4 linked regions of the Styela clava genome follow. The protein of the gene in region 1 purifies or fractionates together with the protein of each later gene. This does not show direct contact. Links are inferred from orthologs where the notes say so. Each region holds a gene or a part of one and is shown on either strand. Other genes may lie near its edges.

Evidence for each region.
Region 2: the proteins of rRNA 2'-O-methyltransferase fibrillarin-like (region 1) and uncharacterized protein LOC120330391 fractionate together in Homo sapiens (co-fractionation; 3 studies listed by BioGRID, with this or other methods). This does not show direct contact. The link is inferred for Styela clava from reciprocal best matches to the Homo sapiens genes FBL and NOLC1.
Region 3: the proteins of rRNA 2'-O-methyltransferase fibrillarin-like (region 1) and uncharacterized protein LOC120345426 purify together in Homo sapiens (affinity purification with mass spectrometry; 3 studies listed by BioGRID and IntAct, counting the BioPlex papers as one, with this or other methods). This does not show direct contact. The link is inferred for Styela clava from reciprocal best matches to the Homo sapiens genes FBL and TGS1.
Region 4: the proteins of rRNA 2'-O-methyltransferase fibrillarin-like (region 1) and nucleolar protein 58-like purify together in Homo sapiens (affinity purification with mass spectrometry; 7 studies listed by BioGRID and IntAct, counting the BioPlex papers as one, with this or other methods). This does not show direct contact. The link is inferred for Styela clava from reciprocal best matches to the Homo sapiens genes FBL and NOP58.

What each region holds. Positions count from the first base shown.
Region 1 is NC_135253.1:21,920,969-21,928,864, forward strand, and holds the start of rRNA 2'-O-methyltransferase fibrillarin-like, read left to right. Parts: upstream 1-4,883; 5' UTR 4,884-5,015; coding exon 5,016-5,028; intron 5,029-5,641; coding exon 5,642-5,803; intron 5,804-6,989; coding exon 6,990-7,147; intron 7,148-7,896. Other genes in the region: eukaryotic translation initiation factor 3 subunit F-like, read right to left, coding at 293-412, 1,665-1,773, 2,701-2,844, 3,134-3,284, 4,384-4,492.
Region 2 is NC_135261.1:11,303,318-11,310,592, forward strand, and holds the start of uncharacterized protein LOC120330391, read left to right. Parts: upstream 1-4,272; coding exon 4,273-6,360; 3' UTR 6,361-7,275. Other genes in the region: flap endonuclease 1-like, read left to right, coding at 1,860-2,996. UniProt on the Homo sapiens protein: Nucleolar protein that acts as a regulator of RNA polymerase I by connecting RNA polymerase I with enzymes responsible for ribosomal processing and modification.
Region 3 is NC_135257.1:9,444,613-9,452,478, reverse strand, and holds the start of uncharacterized protein LOC120345426, read right to left. Parts: upstream 3,005-7,866; 5' UTR 2,947-3,004; coding exon 2,858-2,946; intron 2,600-2,857; coding exon 2,518-2,599; intron 2,170-2,517; coding exon 2,037-2,169; intron 1,593-2,036; coding exon 1,513-1,592; intron 845-1,512; coding exon 760-844; intron 337-759; coding exon 254-336; intron 169-253; coding exon 113-168; intron 1-112. Other genes in the region: leucine-rich repeat-containing protein 57-like, read right to left, coding at 4,088-4,807; uncharacterized protein LOC120345327, read left to right, coding at 7,490-7,570, 7,841-7,866. UniProt on the Homo sapiens protein: Catalyzes the 2 serial methylation steps for the conversion of the 7-monomethylguanosine (m(7)G) caps of snRNAs and snoRNAs to a 2,2,7-trimethylguanosine (m(2,2,7)G) cap structure.
Region 4 is NC_135257.1:6,828,876-6,836,092, forward strand, and holds nucleolar protein 58-like, read left to right. Parts: upstream 1-4,845; 5' UTR 4,846-4,898; coding exon 4,899-6,542; 3' UTR 6,543-6,703; downstream 6,704-7,217. Other genes in the region: uncharacterized protein LOC120346509, read left to right, coding at 1,024-1,089, 1,479-1,574, 1,645-1,661. UniProt on the Homo sapiens protein: Required for the biogenesis of box C/D snoRNAs such as U3, U8 and U14 snoRNAs. Part of the small subunit (SSU) processome, first precursor of the small eukaryotic ribosomal subunit.

The sequences.
Region 1 (7,896 bases):
TGGCGGACATCGGAACGTAACATGGGTAACAGGTTAGGGTTAGGCGATTATTTTTTTCCAATTTTTCTTATTTTAGTCCTATTATCAGTTCGAAGACTAGCCAAGAGCCTCCCGTAGTATTTATACCTAAAATTATGGCCTAACCCTAACCTAGTACACATATTACATTCCGATGTCCGCCATTTTGGTTCGCATACTTCGGGAGCCCCCGCTGCACACTATCACAATTTTATTAAATATTGATATTTAAATATGTGATTTACTTCAGACAACCCTGAATTCACCAGCATACCTGAACACTTTTGACATAATTCAAACAGACATCCAGCATTGAAGTTAAGTTTTCGATTGCTTCTGTTACATGCTGGAACTCTGATGGTACGGTTACTACACCTGCTTTCTTTGTGCAACCCTGGAAAATTTTTTTTTTATGCGAAAGTTTTTCTTTTATGTATTTTAACGGCCTTGTTGGAAGAAGTGTCCTGGAATACCATCCTAATTTGTTATTCTAGAACAGGGTTTCCCAAACTGGGGCCTGCTGGGGGTCCGTGATGACTGCACAGGGGGTTCGCAACAATATAAGAAGAGTCTGGTAGATCTTTGATGATTGATTTCAATCAAAAAGGCCATTGTTTTGCTTTAGTTGAGCGATACGGATGAATATCTATTGCTGTCAGAAAATGCAATTAATTTTATTTTAAAACGACCTACATGTGTGAGGCAGCATTTTCAGCTATCACCAATATGATGGCAAAATACAGGTGAGACTTGCGTAAAGTCGGACCTACGAGTTTGCTTGCCACAAATTGCTCCAAAAATTGTGCAGCGAAACACATTAACGTTGTTTTGTTGTATCCTACTGTTCTAGAAACATTATCCTTCCTCGTTAGTTAAGCACAGAAATTGTTACGACATAGGAAGGGGGTACGTCAAAACTAATATTCACAAATAGGAGTCCGCAGCTCAAAAAGTTTGGGAAACTCTGTTCTAAAAAATAATATATTTTGTGATTAACTATGCATTTATATCATAGCGAGAGCATAATGGGGGATTCATAAGCTGCTGCACAGGAATGAAAATTAATTTCATGAACATTTACTAGTTTTTTTTGACAAATTATCAAATAAAATTTTATTGTGGAGATCATATCATTATATCACAGAGTGAGGGGAAAGACAATAATGCACTTTAATCAATGTTGAGTTGTTTCCAAGTCCTGTGTCCAACATAATCTGATATTTTTCTACAAAATGATGATATATTGAGCTCATGAAGTATGCATACCAAGATGAGGGACAACAGAACGTAGTGTGTGTACCAGGTTAGGGTTAGGCCATAATTTTAGGTACAAATACTACGGGAGTCACTTGAAATCGTAATAGAACTAAAATAGGGAAAATTGTAATAAAATTATGGCCCAACCCTAACCTGGTACATATACTACGTTCTGGGGTCCGCCAGATTGGTACGCATACTTCAGAAATACCGATATTATTACATAAGGGGTCGTGAGAGCTTGTATCTTGCTTTGAACTAAATTGTACAAATAAAGATCCTATGAAGACATTAATCTCGCCTGGTGAGTACTAGGGTCTTGCAGTTTCAGTAAGTTGATTATTGCAGATGCGTAGATCTGGGTGGTGCAAGGAGTCATAAATACTTACAGTTTGAATTCTGTCGACTCCAACCCTCTCTGCATCGTATTGAAGTAATTTCACATCAACGGGTGTGAACATCATTCCTTGGGTTTTGCCTGGGACTCCAATGGGTGAGCTTGTGTAAAAAGAAAAGATATATATTATTGTATTCCAGGATCACTTAAATTGGCACCTAATTGATATAAAATTGTGTTCAACCTTGATCATACTTTTAGATTTAAACCAGGGTGGTCCAAGGTTGTCAACTCCGAGGGCCACAAAATTATTTTAGCATTATTCGCGGGCCACAAATAGTGCCAAGAATAGGTAAACAGTGCAATACAAAACAAGTACTTGTCAGTATTTGTCTTTTGTCAAGCTAAAATATGCAAAAACCACCAAAAAAAACCTGCATAAGTCTTTTTATATCTACATTTAGTGTAAGATTTCGACGGAAAATGGTACTCCTGTAGTATGTGAATCAAGATGGCGGACACAGGAACGTAGTTTGTGTAACAGGTTGGAGTCAGACCATAATTTCACGTACAAATAGCTAGTCCCAGAACTAGTAATATAACTAAAATATAGAAAATTGGAATAAAATTATGGCCTAACCCTAACCTGGTACACATACCACGTTCCGTTGTCCGCTATTATTGTGACGCATACTACAGGTGTACTGGAAAAAAGTGCCATAACACTAGTCACATCAGTGATGTAACAATATGTTAAAAGATTTTTCTGATTAACTTTATGGCAAAACAACACCAAATGCGATTTTTTGATTACCCTCTGATTCCGGCGCGGGCCACAGATAATGCAGCGGCCGGCCACATGTGGCCCGCGGGCCTGAGTTTGGACAACCCTGATTTAAACAGCTTAAAGTCTCGTCAATCAGCTTTTACTAACCTATAATGAATAAATCTACATAGTTTCAGACTTACAGTAGCTCAAGGCAACTTCACTCAGAACCAAATCTTTTTTACCTCTGAGTGGGAGTGCATTATTACCTTGCCTTGAAAAAATTCTCATGAAATTTTTTTTATTATTCATTACTCCCCACCTTATGTATGCTTTGAATCCAAGTTCTCCGTTAGTCAGTGTTGTATCAACAGTGAGATGAACTGGCATTTTATTTTTACTTTCTTTCGTATAATACTCGTGGATAAGTACAGAGTGTTCGGTAATGTCATGCCCAGTCGCGTACCTGGTGAAGAATAAATAGAAGTGTTTATTGATAAAAAATGTTATTATTATTGGTATCATGCACCGCAGTGTTCACTATTAGCGCACTTTTTTTGCGATATGTGAGTGACACCTTCGCAGTTATTTTTAAAGACTGCGAAATCGTCATTTTTAATGCGTCTGTCGTCTTACCAGATGCCCCGTTGAAAAAAAAATTTAATTTTTATGTTATATAAATATTCTCCTGAGGACATCCTTGAAATCTGAGAAGTGTGCTTGGGAACAAACCAAATGTGGAAAACTGTTCTTACCATCCAACGATCACTTCATTTGTATTGACCTTCCTATGAAGGTCGTACATATTCTTGGCGTACTCCATGTCAAATGCGACTTCATCGTCTGATTCTGTGTGAGGAACACAGAAAGCATTCGTGACTGTAACTGCGTTTGCATCAACAGTACCTGGAAGAAGTTAGGATAAGATTTGATGAGCTCATGTCATGACATATTTTTCTCCAACAAGATTTAACCTAGACATAGGGCAAGGGTAGCGAACCTTTTTCAATGAATAGGTCAAAAATTATATTTTTATCGCGGAACAGAAGAGAGTGGGTCACAGATATTTAAGCAATGTTTGTATCTATAAGAAACTCCTGAACCTAAGCTTCTGTTTGTGTTGGTGAAGTTTTGGGCTTTACTTATGCAGCACTTCTTCTATCAGGGACTTTTTATGACACCCTATTTTATGAAATTAGAGTACGAATTACCAAAAACAAGATACCGTACAAGATTAGGAGTTTGGAAAATTACCATACCGACCCGAAAATTAACAATTTGAATATGAGCGATCGCAGCCCTGACTGCCAACTGACGGTACATTATAATAGTTTAGTTATTGTTGGAATAATTGAAAGCCATTTTCATCAACTTTTATCACTGATATGTTAGCATTTTTTTTATTTTATTCGTTCCTCGGCGGGTCAAGAATAAAACGCGGTGGGTCACTTTGTCACCCGCGGGTAAGTGGTTCGCCATCCCTGACATAGAGAAATCAGCAATGTGATAGGAAATGAGAGCAACATAAAATGCTACTGTCAGTAAAGCCATTTCCTCTACCATCACTTTTATATTTTGATTCTGTAAGTTTTAATGTTTTCCTTTTTCCAACCTTTATTCTGTTCGTTTTTGTTTTGTTTTTATCAATTATTTCTTCGTTTTGTATGCTGATTATGAAGTTAAAATATTCACGATACGAGTGAAAAAAGAAATATGAATACTTTAATATTATAATCGAATTGACGAAGAAGCCATTTGAAGTATTCATAAAATTAATTGAAGCAATTAAAATAAAAATATTTAAAATTGAAAAGTTAAAAGGAGCTCTCTAGATCTCTGCTTGTCCAGTGACTTGTTTATAGGTTGATTTCCTTTTGAAATACTCATGATTGCACAAGAACAAAATCAAACTTGCAGAAAAAAAGCACAAATGAATATTACTAATGAATTAATATTGTCACATAACTAAATTACAATTAAAAAGCACTAATTTTACAATTCTTACCTAAAAGTGTTCCTACTACTCTTTTTGCATCTTCTTTCCTCCTTTCGAAACTGTCAATAATGGTGAATAAAACCACAGGGTGAACGCAGACCCGCCGATTTTCCGACATTTTTATAATATTATAATGTACTAAGAGTTATCTGATGGAAAATATGTAAATTAGCACAATATTAAAATCTTTTAAAATCATAAATAGATAAGATTTGTAAGATTTAACAGGTATTTTTCGAATACTCGAGGCGTGAACTCAAAAACCTGGGATTCGGCTTGTAACTGTATGCAAGTGAATTACTCAGGAAACTATCGGTTGTGGTTCCGTGTTCAACTATACAAAAATCATTTATCTCCAGCTATTGAAAAAATTATATAAAGATAAAACAAACATATAAATATATTTATTATAATTTTATCTATATTTTTAAATATTTAATTCATAACGTACCCTCAAAATTACATCACGAAACATGACGTATATAGCAAAATGATACGACTGAGTGACTCTTACCATTGCACGTGTGTTGTTCACGCTGGTCTCTTGGCTGCATTTGCGCTGTTAAAGTTTCGTTAGCTCTTGGTTTGCATTCGCGTTGTGACTTACTGAACTTTATCAAGGATTTTGTGCTATCTTCTAAATGGGGAGACCTGGTGAGTTATTTGATGTGTTTAATATAAATATAGTATTTTGTATATTAATTATGCTGGCTCAACACTTGTGTGATATTTTCATAAATTGAAGGTAAACCTTACTTAAGGTTTTGTTAGCGTTCCTGATTCTGCGATCAGTTTTATTTATTTGTTTTTATCAATCATTTTTCGCCAGTTATGCTGATTATTCTGTCGATATAAACTTATACCTATGTGGTACGGTAATATAACAGCGCAACCTATAATAATTAAAATTAGCAATATACGGCGCGTTTTATCCAAGATATGGCCGTTCAAAAATTTTGTCCGAAGTTAGGAACTGTCCGAAGTTGGGCGCTTTTACGGTACAGCAGTGATGTGTTGTTTGTTTAAGTAAGCATAATAGAGTAACATCTGAACATTATGTGTCACAAGAATATTTGATAGGTTTCCACTTGTTATTTATGCTCATATGTTTAAGTCGTCTTATTGGCTTTTCGCTCTCTAGGTAAATATGTAAATCCTATCCTTATCAAAAGTACGTTGAATCTTTCAATTTTATTTTGTGCTTCTAAGTTTCTCGGGTTCATCTCATATTTATTGTTTAAAACTTTCTTTTATTCATTTTTTTCAGGTTTTTCACCAAGAGGTGGCGGCAGAGGGGGTTTTAGAGGAGGAGGAAGAGGGGGCGGCAGAGGCGGATTCGGTGGCAGAGGTGGAGGTGGGCGTGGTGGATTTGGCGGAGGTGGGCGTGGCGGATTTGGTGGCCGAGGCGGGGGTAGAGGAGGACCCCGTGGTAAGTTGGACTTACTCTTTATCAATGTTATTTTTACAGGATTTTGGGGTGTAGTTAAGTGAACGCCGCAACTGCTCAAATAACTCCAAACAAAAATGTGATGTGAAATTTTAATGTAATTAACATTAAAGTCTGTGTGACGCATAAAAGATTTGTTTGGCGTTATTAAGCACTCAAAGCATTCATTTTCACATCACATTTTTGTCCAAAGCAAAGACACTTATAGTCACTTGAATATGAAGGATACTCCTCTTTGATCAGAGTTACGAACGACAACAGAAGAATTTTTAAGAGGGAGTTCTGAAATTTCTAATTGCCAAGTTAGACGAGGCGCAGTTCTTACCACTTCATGGCAGCTCCTGCCACGAACGTACCACGCCGTCTCCTGCCATGGTTTTATGGCGCTATTACGGGTATATTTACAAATTCATGTACCATATTTTAGTTTATCATGCGAAATTATATCTACTTAAACCCTAACCCTAACCCCAAATCCATCCAAACTGTATCCATAAGAAAAACATTCCAACTCACCAAATATTTATCACCATCAGCAGATTAGGGGCAGCCCTGCTATTACAGCCGACCTGCCGTGGTTACGGCATTAAAATTGGTGGTATTCGATTTGCTGCCGTAACCACGGCAGCTCGCTATTGGTTTGTGGCAGCTAAAAAGTCAGTCGCCGTGGGTTTGGTCTTAGTGGCCGTGGTTTGGAAATCCCGCCATGGTTTTGCGGCAGCTGTAGACGCCACAAAATACTTGAAACTGCACTTGAGTTAGACAGCTGGCGGGTCCGGCTGGAAGCAGTAATGTGGGTTTTCAAGAGACTTAAATGTCTAAAAAAACGTTTTGAGGATAGGAAAAATTTTCATGTATAACACAGAAAAATCCTTTTTTCACAAAAGTGTGGGGTTCCGACCCCTAAACCCACCTGGGTACACTCCTGCCAAGAACTACGCCCACTCAATCAGAAGTAAAGCAGACTAATTTTTGAGCAAAGTTGCAACCGACCTCTGAAATGCCAAGAGCCACTGGAACTTCTAACGTGAAAGTGCTTGTACTGCTGTTCTCTAGCAAATTTTACTGAAGTCATTATTGCAGCATTTGCTTGATTTAATTTTTCTGTTTGTGCCATGTGATGGCATTTTCTGTGATATTACATTGAAGTTGACTTTATTCATGGCAGGTCGAGGTGGAGGAGGGTTCAGAGGTGGAAGGTCAACGGTTGTTGAACCCCATAAGCATCCAGGAATATTCGTAGCTAGAGGAAAAGATGACGCTTTGTTGACGAAAAATCTTGTACCCGGGAACACCGTCTATGGAGAAAAGAAAGTGGAAGTTGAGGTTCGTGAAATTGAATGTTTTTTTTATGAATATATTCGATTAAATATGATTTATCTTGGGGAACAGTGTTCCCTGTAAGGAAGTTAGGAGTACTATGGTGTTTCGCAGTTAAAAAAAAAATTGCGAAGTTGCTTTGGTCGATTTTAAAGAGGTGATTTTATCATGGGAAAGCCAATAGGTTGATTTAATAATGAGAAAAACTATATCTTTTCAGCCCAAGTCAGGTATGAAAATAGCTCACTGGTTAGTCACTCAAAATACACGACCATGGTGTGTTCTGGATGTTATTACAAGCAGTATCCAATGTAATTCAATGAAATGTAAATTCTCGGTTTTTCTCATTAAAACAAGACCCACAAAAATATCTATAAAATAACTTACGAACTACCATACTTCCGAAAACAAGTAACTGGCTAACTAATTCCATACTCAACATAAACTGGTAACCGGACAAAAGGCCCTGGTTTGGCATATGGTTAAACCATCTTATCGGCTTTTCTCTTTCCCAGGATAAATATGTAAATCCAATTAACTGGAGTGTGTAAACATGTTGATACGTTTGGATGAAGGACCATGATAGTTAAGAGGAAACTTTTTTTAACACATGTTTTATACAGAGCGTCTATACTCTATAACAGGGGTCGGGAACCCATGGCTCGCGAGCCATATATGGCTCTTTTGGTGACGGCATATGGCTCCCAGAAAAATCTAATGTTCCAAGACTAAGCTTACTATTGTTACGAGATTTC
Region 2 (7,275 bases), on another chromosome or scaffold:
CACGTTCTACAGTCTCTACGTTCTTGCCAACGTACTCATGTTCGCGCGAATGTTCCACGGTCGCAAAAGCTTTTCCACATGATGCCGCTCTGCGTTTTTCATAGTTACGTGCAAGTTCTACCAAATGCAGAAAATGAGCTTCAAGCACGAGGTTATTCCAATTTCGCAGACGTTTGAAACGACCTGTCCTGCACAGATTTATTGAGTAGAATTCACGTCCAATAGATAGGTGCCGATATCAGAAGACGTTCTGTAACCACTGACCTCCAGACTCTTGGTGGATTAATAAGTAATTACAATTCACTTCGGATGGATAGGTGCCGATATCGTTAGACGTTACCGGTACCGATATGGAACCACTGACTTTCAGACTCTTGGTAGGAGTGGAAGTGGTGACTCCTCTGCGGCCCATGGGCCAGGGCCATGGCCCATAGAATTGGGTCTCGGCCCATCAGGCTATGGGCCGCGACTCACTTGGCTAACACAGACAGTCCCCGAACTCATGATAGAACTAGGCTATAATGTAAAAAATCGGATTTTTTTTGTCCTAACCCTAACCTGGTACACATACTACAGGAGTATATTTTTTTGGTTCGAATATTGACAATTTTGTGAAAATTGAAAATTTTGGTAAGATAATTGAATTTTTCCTGATGGGGCCGGCCCATGGACCGTAGTGGAGTCACCACTCTGCCACTCCTGTAGCTTAGTAGACCAGTAAACGGCAAAATTCGATTTGCCCATTTATTTTAGAAATTCGGCGTCGTAACATTTATTAATATGCCAGTCGTGATATTATCAATCACAGCAAAATACATCAAAATTATTATTTTTTTTGACAATTTTCACATTCTGTCATTTCAGCATTTTATGGCAGTATGGTGGGTTGAAAATGACAACACACTTACTGAAATTTGCTCGAAATTTGGGGAAGTAACTTCCAAGAAGTTGCTAAAAAATTGAGGTTTAAATAAACATTTTGACATCTGAACATGCAGACATGTCAAATAAAGATATCTACCAGCCAAGGCAATTTCACCATGTAATGTAACCTGGCATATGACTTAAAAACATACCTACTTGCTACTTCTGTACTTGCAAGATAGATTTCATCAACATTGGGTAAATTAGGTAAAAAATAACTCCTGCACTATGTGAGTGATCAGGCTTCATGCGGAGCTGTTTTATGCAACAAATAAATATGATATAATCTACTAAACGACATCTTACTGTCTTAGCTTGTGACAGTAGCCATAACATTGACCATTTTGTTGTCGATTTTTGGTACGGCAGCTTTAGCTCGTGCCATGGACATCGTTTGGAGGGTAGGTATATGGCTTATTCGACATATGGGACCTAGCATCTTCATAACTACCCTCGTTTGGACAGGGAGAGGGGGGAATTAAATTGTAACATGTTTCAATAGTATAATTTTAAAATTGAATACAATTAAAACTCAATCATTTCTAGTGCATTTTCTTTGCCATGGGTGACATTTAACAAAGATAAGCAACTGCAGAACTGGGGCTTACTAGCCAGGTTCAAAAAAGATTAGTTTAAACCTCTGGTTTGAATGCCTATTTGACTAGAGAAAAACTAACATACTTTTTAGTGCAAATCTTGTTTTCAATTAATCTAAAAAATTTGGGGCAATGGGGGCAGACTATCTGACGATGGTTATTCACTGCTTTCAACTCTCAGCATGGTCAAATCAAACTTCTGACTTTTCCATGAACCTCATTTCATTTGGACCTCTTGCAATTTTAATTACTGAAAAAAATCTGCTTCCATTTTAAAGCATTTTCAATGTCTTTTTTTATAGATTTTAGCTTACCCAGTTGTCTTATAACAACAGAATAATGGGAATTCTCGGTCTCTCAAAGTTGATATTCGACAAAGCCCCATCTGCTGTCAGAGAAAATAGCATTAAAAATTACTTCGGTCGAAAAGTTGCGATTGACGCCTCAATGGCCATTTATCAATTTCTGATTGCAATTAGACAAGATGGAAATCAATTAACAAATGATGAAGGAGAAGTAACTAGCCATCTTGCAGGATTGTTTTATCGTACAATTCGAATGTTAGACAATGGTATAAAGCCTGTTTACGTCTTCGATGGTAAACCTCCTCAGATGAAGTCTGGTGAGCTCGAAAAGCGAAAGGAAAGACGAGAGGAAGCTGAGAAGAAACTTGCGGAAGCAACAGAGGCAGGAGAGCAAGAAGAAGTTGACAAATTTCAAAGACGACTCGTGAAAGTCACTAAACAGCATATGGATGATTGTAAAAAGTTACTTACTTTTATGGGAGTCCCTGTCGTCTCTGCACCAACTGAAGCAGAAGCACAATGTGCTACTTTGGTAAAAGCTGGAAAAGTTTATGCAACGGCCACAGAAGATATGGATGCTCTTACATTTGCATCCAATAGACTTCTACGACATATGACATTCAGCGAAGCAAGAAAAATGCCAATACAGGAATTCACTCTAGAAAAAGTGCTTCAAGAAATGGAAATTACACAGGAACAATTCATTGATTTGTGTATTTTACTTGGTTGCGACTATTGCGGGTCCATTAGAGGTATTGGACCTAAACGTGCCTATGACCTCATCAAACAACATAAAACAATTGAAGATATTTTGGGGAATATTGACAAGAAAAAGTACACAGTACCAGAAGATTGGGCATTTGCTCAAGCAAGATCATTGTTTATTGAACCTGATGTTTCTCCATGTGATGACATTGAACTTAAATGGAAAGAACCAGATGAAGAAAAACTCATCGAGTTTATGTGCAAAGAAAAAGGTTTCAGTGAAGATAGAATTCGAAATGGAATCAAGAAGTTAATGAATAGTAAGAAGCAAAGTACACAAGGCCGTCTGGATGACTTTTTCAAAGTCAAAGTATCAGCATCACCAGCTGTGAAAAGAAAATCTGATCCCAAGGGCAAGAATACACCTGCAAAGAAAGTGAAAAAGGAATTCAAACGAGGAAAATGATCTTCTAGAAAATAATCAATATCAAAAACATTTTTGTGTATGCATAAGATACTCAAGAATAATCAATATCAATACTTTTATTGAGTCTGATTAGATAACAGAGCGAGTGAACATGTTCATTTATGGGAACAATGTCTTGTGTTACCTTGTAACCTTGTTGGTTAGTAGACTTGTTCCTATTTTGTAATAACGGCTATTTTGCTATTTTTTTCCCACCTTATGGACTCCAAAAATATTTCTGTGGAAGCCAGGATACCCAGGTGAATAAATAATCTACACCTCTTATCTCTTCGGCACCTAATTTGTGTATAACTTTGCGGTATATGCCACATTTAATTTGAATATATGCTCATTTTAGGGCTGCATTCATAAGGAAATATGAGATTTAAAATCAGTGGTATATTATTGAATAAAGAACTTGCTTATAACTTCATGTAATTGAAGTTTTAATCTCATTTCAACTCATTTGTTACACATTATTGAATAGACTGTTCTTTTTGTACTATTTTTCATACCTTGTTCCTCGTAAAGTTAGATTTTTTTCAAATCACAGCCTTTATGTAAATAAGCGGCCTTGTGTCTTTTGTTCTCTCTACCCCAGGATGAACATTTATCTTCTTTCAAAACAATCATTGAATGATATAATTTGTTATTAGCAATTTAGCATATCCATTTTTGTTTGTGTAGTATTTGTGATACATTGTCAAGAATTCCATTTTAAATAAATATGCATATCCTGGCTCGAGATCAATGAAAAGTTTAAACTTCGAAGTTTAAACCCTTATTATTTTTGTATTGAATGCTGTAAAAAATAATATCAACAAATCTTCTTCAGTGGTCTTTTTAAAATAAGGTTTTCAAATATATTGCCAGATGCTGACTTAATATACATATTATACATTCTCTCCGCTAGATGGTGCTCAAGATTAATAAAAATTAGATTTTTGTTCAGAATGTTTATCAGTTGGACTGGAATTTCGAAAAGATCATTCATTATTGATATTTATATAGCATTCAATTCTACTGTACTTGCATAACATTTGCTTATCTCGTTGTCAACCTATTATGTGCTTTGCCAAACTTTTTGATTGCCTCACTGCCATTACATTGACTCTTTTTATAAGGTTTTTGTACACATTGTTTTAGACATGCTTTCATTGCCCACTTCTGAAAAAGTTATCTCAATCATATTTTGTTAGCTTCAGCTTTGTTCACAATCTTAGCATATTGTTTTTTTTTTTCAGCTTATTAATAAAATTCAGAATAAAATTTTCCAATGAAAAATATACCTACTGAAAAGAGCTCAGTTGTTGCCAAGATGGCCGCGCAATCATGCGACGTTGAACGATTGATTTATAAATATTTTATAGATCGTAAAATGACCAAATTGGCAAAAAAGTTTCGGAAAATCACGGACACTAAATTACCAGAGTCGGATCAACCAACTTTGAAAGAGGCATATCAATTATGGAAGGAAACTCAAGTAGACCAAAAAACACCGAATGGAACAAGTACAACAAATGGAAAAACTACAAAAAGACCAAGGAAAGCCGATCCACCATCTAGCTCTGAAAGTGATATGTCATCATCCGATGAAGAGAAGAAAGTTCCAGCTAAAAAGGCTAAAATTATCCCCAAGAAAGAGGATTCTTCTGAATCCAGTGAGGATACATCCTCTGATGATTCTGAATCAGACAGTGATAAAAAGAAAGAAGTAAAAGCGACTGTAAATAATAAGAAAAAAGAATCTAGCTCTGAAGAGGATAGCTCAGAGGAAGATTCAAGTAGCGATGAAAAAAATAAGAAATCCGCATCTGGGAATCTAGTAAAAACTACAGTTTCAGAGTTGAATGGAAAGAAAGATCCAAAGAAGAGTAAATTAGAGAAAACAAGGGAACAAGAATCATCTTCCAGCTCATCTGAAGATTCATCAGATGAGGAGAACACTTCAAAAAGCGTTGCAGTAGTGAAAAAGCAACCTGTGAAAAAGAAAGAATCATCAGATTCCAGTGAAGACTCTGATGATGAATCTTCTGATTCTGAGGATGAACCGAAAAAGAAACTTTTAGTAAAGAAAAAAACTTCTCCAGCAAAAGTGAACCAGAAAAAGGAAGAATCTTCATCGGAAGAAGACAGCGACAGTGAAGAAGAGGAGAAGGTTTCTAAAAACTCGATGAGTGTGTCAAAGACAATAAAAGCTAAAGATTCATCAAGTTCTGACTCATCATCTTCTGAATCAGAAAAAGACGTTGAAACAAAAAATGCTAAAAATGTTTCAGCTGTAGCTAAAAAGGAAGATTCTTCAAGTTCTGAAGACACATCTAGTGATGATGAAAAAGAAGAAACCAAGCCTGTTATAAAGAAAACTGCACCTGCTATTAACTCGAAAAAAGAATCCTCATCTAGCAGCTCAGAAGAGTCATCAGACGAGGAAAAACCAAAGGAAACAAAATTGAAAGCAGTTGTCAAACCAGTTGCTAATAAAAAAGAATCGTCAAGTTCAGATGAATCCTCTAGTGATGAGGAAGAAGAAAAAAAAATAAGTGAGAAAACCAATTTGAAAACTTCTAAAAAAGAATCTTCAAGTGAGGATGAGGATTCATCCAGTGAAGATGAGGATGTGAAAAAGGCAGATGCTAAAGTAACAAAACCCACAAATACTAAGAAAGAATCCTCATCAGATAGTTCAGAAGATTCTTCTGAAGATGATGACAAGAAGAAACCAAAGCAAACAAATACTTCAGTAACAAAAACAAAAGATTCCGGAACCTCTGATTCAAGCAGTGATTCAGATTCAGAAGATGAGAAGCCTAAGGCAGCACCTGTTCAGGCTCAGATCAAAAAGAAGGAAGATTCTTCATCATCAGAAGAGGATACTGATAGTGATGATTCCAGTGAAGAGGAGGATGCAAAATCTGCAAAGAAACCGGAGGTAAAAAATACGCCACAAGTTATTAAGAAAGAAGAATCTTCCTCCTCAGATGAAGATGATACATCTGAAGATGAAAAAAAGGTTACGATAAATAAAACTGAAACAAAAGAATCATCTTCATCTGATGATGATTCTTCTAGTGATGAAGATGATAAAAAGAAAGCAAATTTGGTTGCAAAACCTAGCGCTAATACAAGCATTTTAAAAAGAACGCCTGTTGCAAAATCTACTCCTATAGCAGCTGGAACGAAGAGGAAGAAGTCAGCTTCGTCAAGCAGTAGCAGTAGTGAAGATTCTTCTTCTGATGATTCTTCTAGTGACGATCAATCTTCTAAAGTAGTATCTGTTACTCCAGCGAAAAAGAAAAAACTGGAAATAAAGTCAAAGAAAACCACAAACAATAAAAAAAAAGGGACCATAAAATCGAAATAAAGTTTAGGTGATCATGTATGCATTGAACAATATCAGATATGAGTCAGGATTGTTACAAAAAAATTATGAACGGTTCATGTATGTATCCTATACATCACTTAAAGTGGAGGCTATATATGGTGGTTCATTAAGTTTTTTTTGAACAGTTAAAAAAAATAATGCTCAATTTGATGAATTGATCTAATCTGTAATAATGTCTAATTTTCACAATTGTCAATTACTCATAACATATTGATTATATGAATTATAATCCCATGATATGAAATTCTTACATTTTTGTCACAGTGTCCATGAGTCTGCCTGGGGTTAATTTTTGAACTTAGAAACCTTTTTTACTGAAGGGTAGTATTTCTTGGTTAAACCTTTGTTTTATTATCTTGATTTTCTTGGGACTTGAGAGCAAATGTGCTTTAGTTTGGGACCAAATATATCTTGGTGTTTGGTGGATTTTATCCTTAGTATGGTTTTTATTTTTACTAACTGTGTGTTTCATCCGGGACCCATTGCCATATTTGATATACATGAATTTATTATTTCTTCGAATTGGAGCTGATGTTTAAAATTTTTCATACGGTCTGTATCTGCCCCATTTCCACCTTTTCATTTTTTAAATCATATTGTGTGTCTGGTGCTGTAATATTTAACAGCTTTGTTTATTTGAAATGTGAGCTGACAGTTTGATAAAGTCTGAGTTTGAAGTTTTCTTATTTGCTCAACTCAAATAGTTTAATGATTCGTCACCTGATTTATCATTTATGACATAATTTATTTACCTGGCTTTGTCTGAGTCCACAATCTCTCGACCAGTACTATAGATTAATGTTAGAGTTGAATGAGCTGCTTTTTCCAATGGAGGTTTTAGCAATCATGGTACAATTTCATTTGTTAAGAATGGTTAGGAATGACACAGTCAGC
Region 3 (7,866 bases), on another chromosome or scaffold:
TGAAAGCCAAAACAGCAAAAAAATAATACAAATAAATCATTATTACAATTCTAGAAACTTGTTTAAATAGTAGCTCAAGTAGGTCTTCCAATATATAATCCTAAATTCTCACCCGAGCTTAGAACTTTTTCGTGAAATATTCCAGCTTTCTATAACTAAATTTGGGCCCTGAAAAAATAAAAAATAAAAATTTATCAATAGCATCCAAAGAGACATTGTGGATTGTTAAACAATTATATCACCATCACATTACCTGAACAGACCAGTATTCCAACCATTCTGAATATATTTTATTGTCACTGCTATCTCCATGATTGGATTTTTCACTGTCATCTACTAACGATAAAAATGAAATAATTGCATCTAATTTTGTAATTGTATGTGTGTTTGTAGTTGAAATAATGGGCAAAACCTTAATCACACCCTGGATGCAGGTGGAGGCATGAGATTTAGGACAGAGGCATGTGCTCTGCAATACAGACACAGTTAAGTCTAACACTTTCCACACTAAGCCATCACACTGATCTAATGGTAATAAAACTTGCCCATATCGCACATTAGTTATTTCAGGCAAGTCTAGTCATATTCAAGCATCAGGTCTCCAACATAAATAATTGTCAGCTTATTTATATTCCTCACCAGCACAAGATGAATGAACATGCATACATTTGTTATATTCAGTTGTTCAGGCTTTTAATACCAAGTTCCTCCCAGTTTTTGAAAAAATTACATATATTGGTGAAATGTGAACTGACGTACCTTCAAAATGCTCTTCTTCGTCTTTGAGTCTATTTTTTAACCAATTATCAAGATATTCTGGTGATGTCTTGTCAATTTTATGTGACTGTTTATAAAAAAAAACATAAAAATAGATGAAAAATTATTTCATTCGTATTACCGTTTTACACGGGGCTGGGGGCGGAGTCGAAGCTTGGAGGCATGAAGCCGTGACATTCTGGTGGAGCTGGAGCCAGAGCTGCCAGATATGTTAGTGGCTTCAGCTCTTAATCAACTAATTATAATTATTTTTTTACATTTATAATTTTGTAATAAGCTATATAAATAATAAAATCTATTCTTTTCAGCCTCTAAATTCAATCTATAATATTAATTTCAAGTTGAATTTGTATATCTAAAACTTTGAAGACATAGATTTCACAACTTGGGCTGATGTTTCATTGTGGTGGTAACACTAAAAACATTGATGGTATGAAGACCAAAACGAAGCTGGAGCCTAGCATTACGGCTGAAAAATAGAGCTCCGTGCCAGAGCTGAAGCCACAAGTTAAATATACTGGCGCCACAGATCTGGATCTGACCGAGTCATTACTATTCCTAACCAGATTCCCGCCGCTGGTTCCCTATTTGTTCCCCAAGGCAAAGTAATGAAAAGATAAATGATACATTATTAAAGCAAAGTTCTTGATAACTCGCTAAAAACTACTAATAAACTAACAATTCTTTACAGAATATGGACAAGTAGAAATTTTTAAAAACTTTCTCCATGAGTACCTTTGGTTCCAGACGAGTTTCATAAAATGAGACAGGCAGTCCCAAATTTTTCATTAATTCCGCATCATCCTTGAATTCACCTGAATGTACCCAATAGCAAACAATTTTTTTAGTTTTTTAAAAAACAAAGTAGGCTACATGATGACATACAAATAAGAGCATATTTGTTCTAGACATAATAAGCAAAATTGAAGTTTAAATTAAGTTATAAAATGTCGAACATACATTTTTATATTCGACAGTAAGTACATACACAATTACACAGTCAGGCTTGATTCGAAACAACTTGAAAAAATAAAGTTTGAATAACGACTGGGTATTCAAATAGGGATATTTTCCAAGTATTAGATTCAAGAATAATATGTTGTAATAGTTGAAATACAAAAGTACTGGTAATTGAAACTTATAAAGCATTTGAAAATCAATACTGTAATTTTTTTATAGATAATAGGCAAATGAGGTTAAAAAAGTACTGATAGTAATACTTTTTATACTGACATAAAAACTTGAACAAATTTTTTTACCTTCAAAATTTGTCCAAGGTTGTGAATCTTCAGTTTGAGAATCATTTTTCACCGGTACAAGATCTTTGACTTCAATCTCACAATCAGATGAAGACAGATTCTCTTCAAAGGATGTATCACTTTCCGAATTGCGCTACAAAGAAAGATGCATAATCAGAAATACATTTTTATGGTCTTAACTTGAGGGTTCTGACCAAGAATCCATTGAAATGAGTTTCTTAGTAAGCTTTCCTGTTCAACAAAATTTATTACACATGAGGCAGTGGCAATGGGGTTTTATAACCACACTGCAATGCCAAAGTTAAGTCCAACCACTATGAGAACAGGAAGAATTTATTATATCATTCATAAGGTTTTCCAACTCAGTTGTTAATGATAATTATGACATGAATTTATGAAAGAGGTTAGTGAAATCTGCATCTATTATCACTATCATATAAAATATTCTATAATATAGAAAGGGATAAAATATTCTTCATACTTTGGAGTCAACAAACTGTAGATATTTTCCATTCTTTCTGGCTAAATTAAGCTTTCGTTCATAGACAAGAGCATTGATGTCTCTGAAATTAGAAAGCATTCAAAGAATTATTGCAATCATCAGTGCTTTGTGGATTTTACATGTTTAACATATCATATCACATCTAAGCATCAAAGAAACTAGAAGATAGGGGCATAGGGCTATTGAATTTCAATCGAGCATTGAAAACCTCAACATTCCAATTTGTCTGCAGAACAAGAAAAGTGATCCAAAGTAGGCATAAGTTTGTATACTATGATTTATACTGTTACTGTGGAGTAAATACTACATCAAATATTACCTCAAATAACATCGGGATAAAATGCACATAGATTTTTCCGATAAATCCAACATTTCAGCTTCTGCCAACTTTGTCCAATGGTAACACATTTTGCATATTTCCGACAGTGCCACGGTCGAAGTTGTAAATTATTTAAAGCTATGTCTTCCTCTCCCTTTTTCTTGTTACAAAGAAGTGCTTGACTATCTTCCTTGTTGGAATTTCTGGGTATTATCTGAATACTTTCACACATATGACCCCATTTCAAGCTTACATATGATTTTTGTCATTTTAGCAAAAATAGTCTCAACTCTTTTCAGCTGATAAAAAAAAACATTTATTATACACAACACATTTACTCTTACACAAAAGTACCTAAAACAAATTAAAAAGGAGCATTTTCAACAATAAAAATTTACTCTCACTGTCATGTAATGGGCATTGGGAGTTTATAAATTATGGCAAACTATATGTAATGTTTTCCTTGAGATCAAATACAGGCATTTTTAAATTACTCAACAGATTAATCCTATCTTAAATGTATTATGTAAATCAATTCAATAATTGTAGGATTATTTCAGCAGCAAATTGTTACATGAGAGAATATAAATCTCTATAGAGCACAAAAATATGACAAAATAATAAAAATAAGTTTGCAGTCCTTGTTGACAGAGCCATCATATAAAGTTTAATCTTTGCAGTATTCCAGGTCACCTAAAAAACTCAGCTAGTTACGATTCTAAATTGGACATAATATATAGAGATACTTATCAGGTAATTGTTGCTATGTACGAACTTTGAAAGTAGAGTAAGTCAGTTACATGCATGAATCATCCCGCAACAGAGAGGAATCCAAAAATCCTCCATGCACGAGCTGTCTCATTATTGAATAGATACTAAAGGAGAAATTGAAGATAATTTCATGTTTTGTCATCCTCTCATTTTAATCTTGTAGAAATTCGAATTTGTTAGTTTCATATTTCATCAAATCGATTCTCTATATAAATTTTATTTTCAGTTTTGAATCGGGGTTCGGTAACATTCGTAAATTAAATGATTGATTATATTAAATTATTAATACTTAAAAACATTCTACATAAATTAACATGAGATAATAAACATTCTGACTTGATAACAAATGAATGATAAATTTTATATAAACAACAGCCTCCTACAAGACTCAATTGCTCAATCCATAATCTGAATCAATGAACAGTCATATAGAGACTATGATATTGCATTTCATCTTTTTCAGTCAAATTTCTTTTTAGTTGCAGTATATCTTTCCATATATTTGCCATAACCAGGAGCATCTTGAAATGTTTTTTGATCAAACAAATTACCATCAAAAGCGAGAAGAGAAATTTTGGATTCTGTTAATAGTTTTTCAGGAACTGCATTCAGGGGCACACAATTTTCTTCGAATCTCAAAACTTTTAATCTCGGACATTGATGCAAACATTCTGGTATTGAAGAGATCTGATTTTGATTAAGATTGAGTTCGACAGCTTGAAGATCTTTCATTTCATCGGGTATTCTTTTGATTGAATTATGTGATAAATTAAGAGAATCAAGGTGTTTTAGTTGAGTCAAACCAACGGGAATGTCCCCAAGTTTATTCCCTTGTAAATTTATAACTTTCAAGCTTGTTATTTTTCCTATATCAGGAGGAAGTGATACAAGTCGATTGTGTGAAATGGAAAGACTTTCCAACTTTCGTAACTTGCATATGCCATCACATAAGATGCTCAGTGAATTGGAATTCAAGATGATGCTTTTCAGCACTGCAAAATTCCCAATTGCTTCTGGTAGTCCACGGAGTTTATTACTTGATAAATCCAAAGTTCTCAATTTACTTGATAACCCCAGGAGTTGAGCAGGAAATTCATCCAATCCCATGCTACTGAGTTGACATACTCCAGTCCTTTCAGCATGTTCGATGTGTTTTTTTACTGAATTTTGATTGCCCATGACCAAGATTACATATGAATAAATTACTGAGATAGGCAAAACAGTAAAAGCTAAAATATTAATGAGTTAGTAAGCTTAGAAATTTTATTTTGACCTCCAATTTCAACCTTTATTATGAATCTCTTCCCAATACTGTAATTCGGTCACTGAAAACAGCTTTATTTAAACCAGGCCTTAATCTTTTTCGATTGGGCTCACTCTTCTGCTCTTTCTATAAATTGCAAACTTTCATTCATCCCTGTAATAAAACTCATTTCAGTATCCATGGCACCAAGTTACCATCGGGTAAAGACAATAAACTCGAAATAATTCGCAAAACAATAACAAGTCTGTTTGAAACAGCTAATGCAGCAATGTCTAAACGCAGAAATGTGTAATGACTGTACTGTTCCCGACTACTAGGCCTACCGGTATCAGCTAAAATAATTCCTCCTACCTGTCCGCGTTCCCAATCAACACGCAGACCTACCTGTATCACTGAATATCAATGCATTTCCTTTCATAGTTTTCATGACGCCCGATACTCCTGTCTAATTATCGCGTTTCAATTGTAGAATCTAAGTACATGGAGTAGAAATGATATGAAAAGCATTTTTCGAAGTCCAGCTATTAATTAAAATCAGTAAATTTAACTACAATACACTACATCAGGTATAATGGGAAAATACACATGTTAGAGTTAGAGCGAGATTCCGCATGGATGATAACATACTCGACGGCTCGATTTTCTTAAAATAAAAATAAAAAAATAAAATTCCACTATTCAAAATCTAATGCATTCAAATTAACATTTAATTGTTTCACATTTTCAATGTAGAATACTCAAAAAAATTAATAAAAAAGGCATTCGAAACCTTTTATTCGCACCGATGAGAAAAATCATGAATATAGTTTTTCATGTCTAGACTGATTCAAAAAGACGAGAGACATAACCCCAAAAATCAATTACCACCACTGTTCAATGGCATTGATATGTTAATGTAATGTAATTGGATCTTTGACTAATGCAAGTTGGAGCAGCACATATATACGTAACGGCATTGATTGTAATCTCAGATATTTGTTGCTATAAGCTTTTTCAGGTCGTTCGATATATGCCTAAATTTTGAAAACATAACCAAAAACTGTCAAATAGAACCCAAATCGAAACGGGCCAATGTTTACACCCATGCTTAGATGATCGAAGAAACATCCATTGTAGTATTGTCAAGGCATATTTTAACTTTTTAAACTTGGTAATATCATCTTCCCCTTCACAAAACAGCATAACAATTTTTTTGAAAGTGTCACCGGGAATTCATAAATGAGAAAAACTTGCCATGTTATTTGCTGCAGATATATTTATTTTGAAATAGGTTCAGGATCAAATTAAAGTAATACTGGCTTCGGGTAGCACAAATGGCAATTGCTTCGGAAATCTTTTATCGCAAATTTTTATCATGAATTCGTTACCGGTATGCCAATGGTTCAACGATTTGAATTCACCTTTTATCGGCATATTTTTGATTACAAGACATAATGGTTCTTACTGAGAATGATTCTGATAACATGTGCCTTCAAATTGCAATATATTAGGTCCCGAAAATATAATTACATATGAATTTATTTCAAATAATCATTTGTCCAAATCAGCGACTAAGGAAGGTATGGGTTTATTTTTGTCAACCGGGTAACACATGCATAGCCATGGTACACAATTACGGTACCTACGCAGTGGAGAGATATCTGGGTATTGTTCTATTTTAGTTTTTGTGAAACTAGCCAATTGTTGAATCGTCATATTTGAAATGTTCATTAGCTTTTGTCAATGCTTTGTGCTGACTGCGGACGGCCATAGTCAATGCCGATGAAAATATTACCGAAAGCGGCGATACAGAGCTAGAATACTACATGTTTACGTTTGGGTTTACTGACCCGTGTTAGATCTGCAAATCTCAATAATCCTCGACCAGACGAGACCGCCTGAGCCTAAATTTACGCGCAGGGTGAAACGAGCAGGGTGCGCGTTCGTTATCGCGTTGGCCGTGCGAACGTTCAGCTCCGAGCTAAGTAGGGTAATAGATGTGAAATGACAACACGATCGATAACGGGATGATTATGGGTAGGCCTATGACAATTTAGAGAATGTTGTGTACATGCAGAGGTTTGGGTACATCGTACATCCATTACAGAAATAGAAGTTTTCTAAGATTTGACTTCTTCCTAACTCGGGAATTAGGCTATAACAATATTTTAGGGGATGTGTTCTGGTATTTAAAGTTGAATGATTGTGCATCCGTGATGACAATAGATACAATGCTCCTAAAATACAGCGTTATAAAGATATTTTCAGTATGAAGGGACAATAACTAATAACTTTTTGAAGACCCCATCATAGATAGATAGCGTTTAAAATGATAAATACTGAAATAACAGAAGAATTTTAAACATTTGTACATATTACTGTATTAAGGTTTCATTGCTGTTTATGAGTAACCAATACCAAAAGCATTAATATTTAGATAATTTGATAAAAAAAATTGGTGTGTAGATAGCTTATATCAGTATAAAGACATGCATGATACGTGATAGTTGGAACCTCTGAGCAAATATTTGTGCATACCAACAAAGAAGTTGATTGAATAGTCTGCATTCTTTATATTTCTACAATTCGCAGTGGGAAAGATTGAGAAGGAAACAAAAATGGCAACCCGAATGTACGTTTGTGAATCAGTTGAGCATCCTTCAAGTTTGTTAATGGGATTAAATGAACAAAGGCTGCAGGTGATTTATTTAATATATGTTTTGTATATAATTTTTTTATTGCATAGTTTCAGAGTTTAGTCATTGCTCTTCTCGTTGCTCCAACATTAATTAATTTCCTACTGGTTTTCTTTAATTCTGTTTATCTATCATAAATCAGGACAAGGCGGGACAGTAACCTAACCCGACCTAAGCACTTGATTGGTGTTGATTTTCTGTGATAATTGCTGACTTCAATACACCGGGTATAATTTATTTCACATTGAGTCTTTTAATATTTTAATATTTCAGGGTCAATTATGCGATATCACAGTTCG
Region 4 (7,217 bases), on another chromosome or scaffold:
GATTACTATTAGGATTACTAAAATGAAAGAATACTATTCTAAAATAACATAAAATATGTGATAAACTGCCAACTATAAATAAATTGGTGTCGTATTTTTGCGATCTTGGTATTTGTCAAACTTGATTTGTTCTTTCGCACTTGAGATTATTTTTAAGCAAGATATCGCTGTTTAAAAAATCACAATGTCTGGGGAAAATACGAACAATTGAAAATTATTTTATTGCATTCAGCTCCGTCGGTAGTTTCAGAATGAAAAAAGGTACATCGCGGATCGCGCGCACCATTGATTGCGTGCGGCTGCGTCGGTAGTTTCAGAATGAAAAAAAAGGTAAATCGCGCGCACAATTGCTGTGTTTCGATTTCGCAGCTACTACGATGAAAACCTAACATAACACCAAATTTTGTGATTTACAATGTCTATAGAAGCGTTTTCAATCTGAGGTGAGTCTGCTGAAACCAAAGTGTGATCTTCCATTTTAAGTTTCAGTTTAAATATTTTAGAATGCCGCTTTTCAATCAAGAAATTTGAGTTGTGGATTTACCTTTTTATTGATTATTATTTTTAGCATTTCGTCGCCGATGACTATAATATGGTAACATGTTTTTCACATTGAACTCATAATTCCCCACGAGAACAAAAAAGGAATTAACGTCGTCATTGTGTAACAATACATGTATATGCCGAGGGAAATTTTTGATTTAGGGAGAATAAACAGCGGCGTAAAGATGTTTAAAACACGCCATGCTGACGGAAAAAATCGGCGATTGTAACAAAATGAAATAGCGCACGTTACTAACGGCCTTTTAATTAAGTCTTCCAAAAATGTCAAAAAAGAAAAGATTCAGCATTTAGAATAAATAAAGTACTTTTAACTTGCTCGGGAATAATAATCTGAAAGTAACAATTTTAAAATTTATTTTGGGGCTCCGCGAATAATATTCAACCTTTCAAGGGCTCCGCAACACCAAAAGTTTGAGAACCCCTGACCTAATATATATATCACAAATTTAATCATCGTAGAAGATAATCATGATGAGCACATGAGAGAAATGAATGGACTTCATAACGAAAGAGTTTCGGATATGGGTGAATATATGATGAATTATCTTCAAAAAATTACAAAATATTTACGACATATTTGCATTCCTCAACTTTTACTTTCTTACTTATCGATTTTAATCGGTAAGTATGTTGATAGGTATTTGTCTGTTTATCTGTCTGTCTGTTAGATGCACGCGATATCTCACGAAAGTGAGATTGGATCTGCTGCAGATTTTGCATGTGCATTCATCATATTTCGTACCAGTAGCCTATTGATTTTGGGCGAATTATGTCGTATAATAGCGAGTTATTAATTAATTAGTGATGGGACACAAGGTGTCACTATGGAGTAAGAGCGCTGTTTTGGGGGATCTCCTAACTTTCGATCGATAAGTCTTCGGTCTCTGACCGATATTCTCGTTTGTGTTTTATAGATAATTTCCTTGGCGGTGGACATGACGTACATATGACCGACTATAAAAATTACATCGCGAGTTTTGTTTGTCCACCGGGTGGAATATCTGACAAAGGTATGAATAATAGAATTATTTTACCATGAATGATGCTTATTTTGTTAAGTTTGCCTGTTTCGTTTTACAGAACACCAAATGATTTGAGGATTTTTTCCAAGCCCAAATCCAACTTTGTCACAAATTGCTGCATACCTTAATGTTCTTCATCAACTCGGAATTTCCGTCAACTTCCATGCTTCTACATGTTCAGACAGAGACTGGAGTCATGATCATTAAAAAATGTAAATCCCCCTAATTCAGTTATTATTAATATTCAAGATTATATTCTTAGTTGTGTTATAGTTCAAAAAGGTTCAACCAGAAAACATTGTGAATTGTGCCTGTATTGCTATGTACGCTATGTAATAAATAAAGAAAATGAATTGCATATTTTAATGTTGTTTAAGATTGTTGCCGTATGTCGATAAAGGTATCACAATTTATTGGATCATAAAAACAGAGGTAATTATTAATTTACACCAATATTTCCGCTGTCAACAAAGTAAAGAAGTCATGTAATCAAATGACTCCTTGCGTCCATGCGTTATCGTGTTTAGAAGCATGCTAGAGTCTTGAGGTATCTGGGTAAATTGAATAAAATCTACGTGTGTCCAAATAATTTTTTTTATTATCCACACCAAAGTTTAAAAAATGGCACCAACATATCGTTTTATAACAGATCAGTTCTTTGCATGCATTTACAACAATTCAAGTGTATAATACATAACATTACATTATATAATCTACAACATCCTTCATTTATTCATCCTTCATTAAATTGATAATGTTAAATTCGAAATGGTACAATGTTTGAATAGGACAAATTTGCAGTTTGTTTATTGCTCAATTTATTGTAATATACATCTACAACATACTGATATTCGTATTGAAATCCTCTCTATTGCATTTCACTGTTCCAACAAAGTTTTATCATATGTGGCGTTTGAGAAGTAGTGTTGTTGATCGGCCGTAGGCTATAGTATCTCCAAATGGAAATTTCAGAAATGCGTTTGAGAAGTAGTGTTGTTGATCGGCCGTAGGCTATGTATCTCCAAATGGAAATTTCAGAAATGCAATCTGACTCTATTGTGAAGACACAGTATGATGCTGTTGGAATTCCTGAATTCTACTCCTATCTCTCAGAGCATACAGCAACACCAGCATCATTGTCGCAAGTTCAACAATATCTGAAGAACACGACAGTTTGCTAGCATTTTAATGAAAAGTGTTGTCGACCAACAACTGTGTGATTTTCTCGTAAACACAGAAAACGTGATTGTACGACATTACTAAGAGATAAATATGATATTGAAATGATGGGGAATGTCCTGATACACATCGTCCTTCCAATACCGCCACAGATAAAAATCTGACATTTTCAAGTCCAATGGACCTTTCCCCGACCTTTGACCCTCAAAAAATTCTTCCTATACCTTACCATTGCAAAATTTTCGGGGCTTATTTTATATTTTATCATTATGATTCATCGCATACAACAATCTGTTTTTTAAAAATACCGGTAAACAATTTCAGCCTAGTCTATCACAGCTATTTCTATAATAATTTTTTATTACTGCAATTAAATTAAAACTCCTAGGAAGACAGAGTGATCATTGAAATATCTAATTTATATTCAAATTCCCGAAACACAACTGAAAACTAACGAATAGAGTTCAAAAACGCGAAAACGAGGTAATGTTTACGACCACGCCTGAAAATCTGTGTGAGTGAAAAAAGTGTCTGAGCGGATGCGAAAAGGTAGCATTGTTACGTCACTTTTTGAATCTTGCTGATTGGCCAATGTCACGAAGTAAACAAGGAAGTCAATGCTCGGGGAAAGGTCCATGAATGAGATGCTTCACCTTTTCTGAAATTGTTTACTTATCCAATCAAGGGCGTGATTTGATATGCCGATGGGGCCCTGTCTTGCTGGATACACGTCTGTCTCCTATATGCCTAAGGGGTGATTTCGAACATTTTCTAGATAGAACATTAATTTTGTGCAAAATGTCCAGGATTCCTGAACTTTTTGCGTTCTTTGTGTCCAATAAAAATCGAATGGCATAAAATAGAAAACTATCCAGTATCCACGAGCCATGGCGAAACCAAAGCGATCACCGTGGCGTAGATTCACTTTGGTCAAGCGGTCAAACGAAACGTAAATTTAACATTTACTGATGCGTAACAAGTAACTAGCACGTGTGTGTCGAGCGAGTCGATGACGGCCCTAAAGTATATTCCAGTTCTCGAACAGCGACGTTCGGCGCTGGTTAACGCAATGTGAGATCGGCTTAATTTGTTATTGACGTTATACACATGGAGTTGCCGTATGACCTCCATTATAGTACATCGTGGCGATGGTTATATATATTTTGTGATGGGTCTTAGAAATAGTTCAGAGGGTTTTTTGTGCTTGACCTTACACTTTCAGACTTCACAGCCTTCTGGCCTCAAGAATTTTTGTTTTGTCGATCGGTGGTGGAAAACACATGTCTAGTGAGAATGTTTAAACGTTGCAATTTTAATCTTGTGATATAGAAGTGAGGATGTTGTATATAATAGGAAAAATTCTTTGATATCTCAGAACTCTTTTTTCATATTTAATTCTCAATTTATAATATTTTAAATATGGCAGTACTGTACATCTGCTTCAGTAGGCTACTTCATACTTAAACCGAAACTGTGGTTTTGGCCCAGCCAAATTCAATGATTCAAAATATTGGATCTTACTGCAGTCTGCAGTACTGTGTCAATTCTGAATTTGATGGATTGCATTAACCAGCTAATACCAAGAACTTGAGGAAACTCCAAAATTCCTATTAGGCTATCAGAGGAAAAGGAAATAGATTTTCTTTAATTAATGAAGAATAATGAATTTCTTTAATTAATTTAATTTATTATACTGAATCTTCATAGACCATACCATGGAATTTTGAAATAATGGGACATAGTCTTAAGATTAGTAAGTAGACTATCTACAGATCTAAACTATTTTGGACTGTTAGAGTTCCATTTTCTAAGCTTCACATCACACTGTCACATGCTTTTAATTTTAAGGTAGCCAAGTTCAATTTATGAGTAACTCTGTTGTATGTTATTTGATTTGTCTCTCACCGTTTCATAAGTATAAAAGCTAAAAAGAAGAAAAATTTAAACACAATCCTTTGAAATTATATCCAACTCGAGTTGCAGCATAACATATAATATTATTATTTATTTAATATCTGCCTGAGGCTATTCTGCCCATGATTACATTGTCAGATCTATGTTTGTATTATTATACATGAATCAAATCAATTTGTTACATTTTCCAGTAATGGTATAAGATAACACAGTAGCAAAATGTTGGTGCTATTCGAATCACCAGCTGGCTATGCCGTATTCAAGGTTCTTGATGAATCAAAAGTCAGAGAGGCCGGAGACTTGCAATCGCTTTTCAGCACAGCAGAAAGTGCATCCAAAATGGTCAAATTGAAACATTTCAAAAAATTTGAAGATATGACTGAAGCCCTTTCAGCAACAACCGCAGCCGTGGAAGGAAAGTTATGCAAGCCTTTAAAAAAATTGCTCAAGAAAATAGTTGCAAATGAAGCACATGAAAAACTTGCGGTTGCTGATGCAAAACTTGGAAATGCAATCCAAGACAAGATGGATTTAATGTGCTTGTATAGTCCAGCTATACATGAGTTAATGAGAGGAATACGTGCTCACATGACCAGTCTTATAACTGGGCTGCCTGAGAGCGATGTGACAGCTATGGCACTTGGACTCGCTCATAGTCTTTCTCGATACAAATTGAAATTTAGCCCTGACAAAGTTGACACAATGATCGTCCAAGCTATATCGTTACTTGATGACCTGGATAAAGAATTGAATAATTATATAATGAGATGTAGGGAATGGTATGGTTGGCATTTTCCAGAACTTGGTAAAGTTGTTACAGACAATCTTGCTTTTGCAAAGACCGTAAAGAAAATGGGAATCCGAACAGAAGCAATAAATTGTGATTTGTCAGATATTCTTCCAGAAGAAATAGAAGAGCAAGTGAAAGAATTGGCAGAAGTATCAATGGGTACTGAAATATCTGAAGAAGATATCAGCAGGATTACTTACTTATGTGAGCAAATCATCGAAATAACTGATTATAGAGCACAGCTCTATGACTATTTGAAAAATCGTATGACAGCAATTGCACCAAATGTCACAATACTTGTTGGTGAACTTGTAGGTGCAAGGTTGATTGCACACGCTGGTTCTCTTCTTAACCTTGCTAAACATCCAGCTTCAACAGTGCAAATTCTTGGAGCTGAAAAAGCACTTTTTCGTGCTTTAAAAACCAGAAAAGAAACGCCTAAATATGGATTGATTTATCATGCTTCACTTGTTGGACAATCCAATCCTAAACACAAGGGTAAAATCTCAAGAATGCTTGCTGCAAAAACAGCCCTTGCTGTTCGTTATGACGCTCTTGGAGAAGAGTCCTCAACTCAGTTGGGAGTGGAAAATCGTGCTCTATTAGAAATGAGATTGAAGGCATTGGAAGAAGGAACATCATTTAAAATTAGCGGAACTGGAAAAGCCAAAGCCCAGGCTGATAAATGGACAAATAAAAGCGAGGTTAAAATGTATGATGACGCCAGGGATTCAACTCTGCCAGGCCCTAAGAAAAGAAAACATGAAGAAGCCTTGATCGTGTCCGATGGTAAACTGACTGCGCCCTGTACTCCAACTGCTGAACCTGTTAAAAAGAAAACTAAAAAAGAGAAAAAGATCAAACTTGAAACACAGGAGTCTGACGATGATCTTAACACATCCAGTGCTACCAATGGAACGGAAGTTGTTAAAAAGAAATCTAAAAAAGATAAGAAAGTCAAGACCGAAGTACAGGAGTCGTCACCAAAAAAGATCAAGACTGAAGTACAGTCTCCACAGGTGGAAGGCAAACCGAAAAAGAAGAAGAAAAAGTCAAAAAAGGAGAGTGAATGATTTCATAAGAACATTAACGTGTTTTAATTTTTTTTTCAAATCTTTCATTTGAGGTGATTTTTTGAGACTTTCGCTTCAGTGCTTCATCATGTATGCACTGTAGTGTGCTTCTGTACCATTTTAATATCACTGCCAAATATTAATAGATTTCAACCATGGAAGATGTCGGAAGGATTTGATTGTAACAAGTGATGGGATCCGGGGGTTTGCGCGAATCTATTTATTTTCTGAATGAGAGAACCTGTTGTTAGTAAGTTTAATCCAAAAGAGAACCCATTCTTAGAATTTTGAATTCCATCACCATTTGTAACCAACCTAACCTTGTAGCAGACCTGGGAAGTAATTTTGATAGAATTTCCCAAACAAGCCTTCAATAATTTCTTTCTTACCACTATGTCGTACTCCTATTATTGGAGCTGCACATACTTTGCGGTAGCTAAGAATCTGAATAATCGGACTGTTTTTGTGAAATGAGAAACACAAAGCAGACCATACTTTTTCATACTCAGAACAAGGTCCTGTACAAGCACCCATTGACATGTAAATAGCTATATTTGGGATGACCAGAATTTATTATACTCCTGGGTAATGTGGTTGGAATTGGATTTAATCATGAGATTGTAAAAAGCTGTGAAGCCCACATAAGTCAAGTCTACTAATTATAATACATTTATA